Xenopus tropicalis: one gene and its partner. The protein of the gene in region 2 interacts with the protein of the main gene of each other region in a pairwise test. Links are inferred from orthologs where the notes say so. Each region holds a gene or a part of one and is shown on either strand. Other genes may lie near its edges.

Region 1 (3,756 bases), on a different chromosome or scaffold from region 2:
ACTGCAATTAGTGGGAATTATAAGATGTTATGGCAAATTTGTATGGAGTACAACACTTAGGGGAATGTTTCTTGTTGTGTTAAGAATGTTTCTTGTGTTAATAGTGTTAAAAATGACCTCCCAACTATATGGGATAGCTTTAGCAGATGTATTTTCTAACAGGTGACTTTTCAGTGGCAAAATCTGCCTCCCAGCTATCAAGTTTTACTCACAGTAGAACATAATTTAATCTGCATACTGATAAAGAACTGTTAGTATTAGTTTATTGTTCCTTTATGGTCATGTATAGTTGTAGAATTATACCATATAAAAGTGCATGTTGTAAAGTTCAAGTTGAACAGTCATCAGGAAGAGATAAAAGATCACCGCCCCTTTGTTTCTTCTGTTCTTTAGATTCATAAATGAAATTCTTTCTTTTTTCCTCAGACTGATTGCTTTTTTTGTTCCTCCTCACTTCTTGCTCTGAGAACTAGAAAAGCATTGGGGACGAGGCCAACCTCTTCCAAGGTACATGTATCATCTTCATACACACAGTAAGGGAAAGGGGTGATAATGTTGTAGGAGGAGAGATCAGGTGCCCTGCTTACAAAATATATAATAAGGAATGAGAAATAAACAGACTAAATATGTTATAGGATTTTAAAAAAACAAAAAACACATACCGGCACGAGGACAAGTAATTTCGCAAGTCGGCAAGGGTTTCTGAAGACAACATTCGCACTTTATATGTTTTATCACCAGACTCAGACCTGATCCTTAAAGTTGACACTACCATGTTGTCTTGTGTGCTAAAACAAATACAAATATTTATATTCTTTAAATCTTGTTGTATAGTTGTGATCCTACATCAGGAGAGAGAGAGAGATGGCAACACTGTCTTAAAGGAACAGTTCAGTGTAAAAATTAAACTGGGTAAAATAGACTGCGCAAAATAAAAAATAATATTAACATAGTTATGGAAAAATATAATCTATAATGGCAGGATTGAGCAGATGTCTAACATAATAGCCAGAACACTATTTCCTGCTTTCAGCTCTTAGTTAGTCAGTGACTTTAGGGAGGCCACATGGGACATAACTGTTCAGTTAGTTTGCTTTTGAATCTGACCTGTGCACTCACAAACTAACTGAATAGTTGTGTCCCATGTGCCCCCCCCCCCCCCCCCCAAAATCACTGATTGGCTACTGACTGATAATAGCTTAGAGAGCTGTAAAGGAGGAAGTAGAGTTCTGGCTGTTATGTTAGACATCTGCCCACTCCAGCCTTTATAGATTTCACCTTTGGCTAACTAACTATATTGAAACTATTATTTTATTTTGCACAGTTTATCTATTTTACCCAGTTTCATTTTTACACTAAACTATTCCTTTAAAACTCGCCAAAAGCAACATTCCAACAGTGTTCTTTACATTGTTTACAATTGTGCCATTATAGAAAGGATGGAGCCCCATGTGGCTACCCAAAGTCTTAGGGCTGATGGGGATAACTTTTATGGGCCCATGTACAGCAACACACCTTTTTGTGAAAATACATTAATAATAATAATAATAAAGCTGTTTTATTCTTGGCTTGAGAAAGAAAGCTTAACTGAAGGACATCAATAAAAAACGCTGGACTTTGAATAAATATAACTGTGACAACTGGATTTATGAGACAAAGGAAAACACTATATTTAATAAAAAAAATATTAAAAACAAAAACAGCAAAGATATTATGTAATGACTACCCCCCTTTAACCCTATGGAATACATTTTACTATCCGTACCTCTGCTCTTTTGATAGCTGTGGAGATTCCACTAAGATTTCTTTTGGCATCTCATTTTCTTCTGACCCCTTAGAAAAACAACAAGAGCTAACTGTCTGAAGATGCTCCACCAAACCCTCCGTTCCCATGGTCATGTACAAACCTGCAGAGCTTCTCTTACAGCACTTCGTACATGCACAATTCTACCCCCACGAATTACAGATTTAGGCAGTCTATTCAAGAACTGGTCAGTGGAAAGCTGTGGTCCTGTTGGTGGGCAGAATTTACAATGAAAATGTTCTATAAACCCTTAAGGGCTTGCCTTATTTTTAAAGAGAGCCCTTACCTGGTTTTTTGTTAGTTTGTAAATTACTTCCTGAGCTCCCAATAGTCTGACCAGAACCAGGAAAATCATCCCATCGCCGCTGCTCTTGGAAAATTACATTGCGGTTGTCTGTAACCTGCAAGGCAAAGATACTTTTCAAGAGTCCTTTTCACCTACATGCGTAGACTGTATTCTTCAGCAATTCTCTTACCTGAAATGTGACTCCATTAGGAAACCGGGCCTGCAGTTCAGAGGGAAAATAGCCATCCATGATATCTCTTATACATAGCTGTAACACAATGAAGGACAAATTATTTCAGGGAAAATAACTTCTTTCCCATCTGACATACCACTGTTTCTGTTTTCCTCACCTGTGTGGATTTTTCCTTGTAGGATCGAAAGGGCCCTTGGAACATAATAATCCCGTTTTTATACAAAGTCAATGGGACAGACTCGGGTGCTCTCAAACGGGCCCCTCCCTTTTGATACTCAATATGCGATTCTCCCTCACCTCCAAGTACATTCAAATCTCTTAAATTTTCCAGGACTAGATCAAAGTCTGGTAGGAAAGAAGTAGGTGAAGAAGGTCCTATGGAGATTAAAAAAATATTACTATAAATACAACTATTTTTAAAAGTCTCATATTACCCATTTATTTAATAAAAGTGTAAAGTGAAAACACCACTAGTGCTAAAGCTATAGGGACTGATTCCTGACAATAGGTGGAACTCCTACTTAAAGCATGTAAAAAATATTAGAGATGGGCCGAATCCCAGATTTAGTTTGGGATTCAGCTAAATCGGAGCCATTTTTAGCATGACATGGCCGAATCCAACCGCCTAGCTGAATCTGAGCCCTAAGTATTGAAAAATATTTGCAGCATGCCTTCCCCTGCATTTTCTGCTTCTGCTCTGGGCTTGGTTCGGTATTTAGCCAAATTCGTACCCAAGGAACTGAAATATAGGTTTGGTGCATCCCTAGTAAATATACAGAGAAGCAATATTTTTAGTTATTGTCAATCGGTGTGTTATAACATGGTTTTTCAATAATATGGAAAAGTTAATGCCTAGTGACATTTATTTCAAATACTAGAACCTAGGATTAAAGAAAATAGTAATTGTGGTGTATGCAAACATTTCACTTCTTCATTATTTAAGGTCCCTGGCTCTAATTACCTTAGCATTAATAACCATTAGGAGTTCTATTTGCCTGGCAACGCTGAGTACAGGCTTGTCTACTTATCTGATCAATGATACTGTAGCATTAGAAAACTACTTCCCATGTAGTTTAGCCCTTAATACACTGAATTTACACTGTTTAAACAGAAGTTTTCAGGGCTGACCCTACTCCATACTCCAGTGATATCCGAATAACAGATAGAAGCTTCTCATAGCCTGCTATGAACCGCTGCTTCCAAGGAGATTGTTTACAGTGGCAATGTTATAATCTACAATTACCTGGGCTCCATGTTCTGGCAGTGGATTCAGGTGAGACATCTGCATTGTTTTCCCCAACCCAGACCAGTCCATAATCACCAAGGAAACGCTAGGGAGGAACAAAACATTTCTGGGTCTCACTTATTACATAGCTATTAGAAAAAATATGGCACACCATACACACTCACCTCCATCTCAGAGATTTTTTTATTTAGTTCCTTACACTGGTGTTCCAGTTCCTGTTCTCTCCT
Region 2 (3,656 bases):
TGGCAAGATTTTGACAATATCTGATCAAAATCTCCTATGTAGTTTAGCCCTAAGGGTAATCGGACACAGGGCTACTCGGTCATTGTGTTTTTTGGAACCTGAAAATGTGGTGCCATAATACTCCAGACAAGCCCCTAAATACTTCAATAGAAATCACCTGACAATTGCTCCTATCAAAGATTGCTGGTAATAGGACCTTGAAGATACTTACATTCAAATCCTGCACTCATCAGTTTTCTACACAATAGGTTTCAGATAGGAACTTGGCCACTGAGCTTTAAATGATCTTGCACAGAGGGTACAAGGTAAGTGATCTACTATTGACCTAGCAAGAAATACACTTACAACAGAAATACAACACAACAGGCAATAAATAAATATACTTGTGGTTTAATATTGCATTGAACAAGTTCACAGTTTTGCTCTCTTTTAACAAATCTACTTCTAAAGTAAAGTGCATACACAGCTAGAGTTCTGAAACATATTCGCACACAAGCCTCTAGTAAAGTGACGTTCTTTGGGAGTACCTTTGTGTACACAGTACCATATCCCAGTCTTCATCTAGCCCTCTAGGGTCTTAAAGGGGAGATGTCTTAGTAATCAACATGCACCCAAAGTGTAATAGATGTTTAATAAATCTGTTTCCTTAATTTTCTGCTAGCTCTCTTTCCTGCTCTGAATATCTATCATTCTGTTTGGCATTTGGCTATTCCAAATAATAATTCTGAGACTCAAAGCAGGAGATAGCTATTAGCAGCAGGAAAAAATGTTAGGGCGGGGAACCTACAAATAAAAAATAATTAAAGATTAAATATCTAAAATATTATAATATAAAATAAATATTTGTGAAGATTATTTAAACAAGGACTTGCTGTATATTTTTTAATCCTAATGACAGTTCCCCTTTAAAACACTAACCTCACAGATAAGTTATTAAAAACATGAATAACTCATTATCTCACCTGGATATATTTATTGTTGGTATTTAAAGGCCCCTAAGGCCTGGAGTTGAACAGGGCAGCAAAAGCAATATCATCTTATTATTCTTTGTTTTTTAATTACAAAATGACTATTCCATATAAATAATCCCCCAGATGTTAAATATACAATAAAACACTTATTAATATGATAAAACAATGAAACAGAATTTTGAACCCTTTCTGGTTACTTGTATCCATTGAACTTACAATTGTAAAAATTTGAGCTCTGTTTTTGGCAGACATATCTAAATACATTATGTGTAAGAGTTTCTTACCCTAATATTTGTCTATGTTAGCTTACCGTCTGCCAGGAGGCACTCGGTAACAATTTTATCAGTAGATAATGGACAAAACAGGGAGTTGTCTCCCATGGTTCCACTTAAATGTGTAAATACCCAATCATTATTTAGAAATTGTTTTACATTGTAACACAATCCAATGGTAACATTAAACCTTACAAAGCAACACCTTCCAACTCTTCTTCATTAAACACTGATTACAAGTTATAAACAACAGCATAACAACGTGCAAAGAGAAATGTAACATGGGATAACAGGACAGAAGGAGCAGGACAAGTGCCACAATGTATACTAATGACACAGGTACAATTTTGTGGCTAAGGGCACTTTTAACACCATGAAATCAAGTGACAGTATTAAGAATGTTAGGTTTATAACCAGCCATTCACAGAACTGTACATGAAAGAACACTGTAGAGGTAAATACATTCTCAGATACAGACACATTTAATTAGGCGCACAACATGCTCATCTGAGTGGTGTTTGTTCTACTTTGCAAAGATACCATAACACTATGTGAGAATTAACACTTTAACTATATAAGAGACGGTTATAGGGCATTTGTAAATGTTACTTGGGGTTTTTATGTATAATTTGGTTCAAGACAGCAATGGAAGGCAACAAAATAATGTGCCATTCACCATTCCAGGACAGGTTTCAGCCAACCTTGCCATCATTTTAATCCTTTATTTAACATACTCATCAGCTTCTAGTTTTGCTAGTTCTAAAAAGTATTTGCATTTAAAGTTAAAGAGTCAGTGGTGCATAATATTGGGTGTTTGCTTATTGCATCACAGGAAGGAGTACAGACTGTGAAAATACCACTTCTTCCTGTTTAAGTCCACCTTATTTAATAAATGGACCATGAACATATAATTTTTAGCAACACTTCCCATGTGCCAACCGTACCAAGTTAGGTTTAGAACAAGTATAAAACACTGGTTCAACCTGCTCATCCATAAGGTATGTATCCGACCAATTTTATGCCACACACATAGATAGACTGACAACTGCGCCTAATCTAAATTGGCTTGTACAGTAAAGTGGTGACATACTTCTTCTTGTAGCGATGAGTCGCACTAAGAACCATTACTCCATCCTGAAAAACAAAAATCGATACATCACAGAAGGTTGGTACATTAAGTGCGTTGTGGGTCCCCAACATTTATAAGGGGAAACTATTCAGTCAGCTTAGCTTGTGATGACTATCAAATATTATTGATCAGTTACAAGATTTAAGATTAGTTTAAGATAAAAACTATAAACTGAAATATAAAAATGTATACTGCATTATTCTTGTACAGTTAACACATCCCCCATTGCATTTAACTAAGTAGTAATTCTATGAATTTGCACTTTCAAGCAATTCTGAGAATTCATGCGCTGGCTTGTAAGGCAAAAAAATCTTCCACCCGCCCGTGTCCACTACTTCCCAGCCACTTATGTTGAATAGGTAAAAGAGCGGCTGGGGAGGGAAGCAGACCCCCTGCGACCGCTGCAATCTGGGCCCCCTGCAACCGCGGGGACTGCTTCCATTATAGTGTCCAGCAGGAGTGGAGTGTGGGACTGTGTCCTGGAAGAGACTGTGCCGGGATTTGGCTTAACCACACAGGTTTTCCAGAGCAGGCTTTATTCATATTTTAGCACTACTTTGACCCACACTCTTTCGTTTATGCAACCAGCATGCATGAAATCCTATTTCTTGTGAGTTACTGTCCCAGTTTTTTTTAATAAAGGAGCAGGTAAATCACATGAAGGGGCATATTTATGAAAGTGTAAAATTAGAGCTCACCACTGTAAAATACTCCACTCTGTTTCTTCATGTGGTATTTTTAGAGGAGTATTTATCAAATGGTACATTCTAACTTTCACCTATTGATAAATACGTCTCTAAAAATCCCAATGGAATGAACAGAGAGTGGGTGAATTTTACTGTGGTAAGGTCTAATCTCACAATATTAGATTGTTAACGATATTCATGATGCTGGCAGCTAAGCTGTATGGTAGTCCTTTATACTTTTCTGCATTACTAGGGTCTGAAATATTTCCTTTAACCCCTTATTAACAGAAAACTTTACCTTTATTGACAAAGCATACAGATGGTTTAGCATGACGTGATTGGGTTCTGGAAGGAGGGCAGGATCACACTAAAATAAACATACATGTGTTAGAGAAGGTTTTAACATAACTTCATATTCAAACTTTTCATGTGTTGCAAGTCATGTCTGTACACTTAAAACACAAAATGTGTTACCAGTAGGAGCAAATGATTGTCCTCTGCTAATACTAAGAAGAATGTTAGGAATTTTAAGTAAAGAGATAAAAGAAGGGTTGAAGTGTTGTGTAACCACATACTGACCTATGGGAAATGCCAGCAT

The links. The genes of interacting proteins can lie anywhere in the genome.
Region 1: the proteins of prkab2 (region 2) and ubxn11 interact in binary tests that used the Homo sapiens proteins (3 or more experiments, as listed by UniProt). The link is inferred for Xenopus tropicalis from reciprocal best matches to the Homo sapiens genes PRKAB2 and UBXN11.

What each region holds. Positions count from the first base shown.
Region 1 is NC_030678.2:77,353,612-77,357,367, forward strand, and holds the end of ubxn11 (UBX domain-containing protein 11), read right to left. Parts: coding exon 3,694-3,756; intron 3,615-3,693; coding exon 3,527-3,614; intron 2,659-3,526; coding exon 2,441-2,658; intron 2,359-2,440; coding exon 2,281-2,358; intron 2,206-2,280; coding exon 2,091-2,205; intron 2,012-2,090; coding exon 1,908-2,011; intron 1,834-1,907; coding exon 1,766-1,833; intron 789-1,765; coding exon 663-788; intron 580-662; coding exon 423-579; 3' UTR 242-422; downstream 1-241. UniProt on the Homo sapiens protein: May be involved in the reorganization of actin cytoskeleton mediated by RND1, RND2 and RND3. Promotes RHOA activation mediated by GNA12 and GNA13.
Region 2 is NC_030680.2:118,100,573-118,104,228, reverse strand, and holds the end of prkab2 (5'-AMP-activated protein kinase subunit beta-2), read right to left. Parts: intron 3,426-3,656; coding exon 3,357-3,425; intron 2,378-3,356; coding exon 2,300-2,377; 3' UTR 375-2,299; downstream 1-374. UniProt on the Homo sapiens protein: Non-catalytic subunit of AMP-activated protein kinase (AMPK), an energy sensor protein kinase that plays a key role in regulating cellular energy metabolism.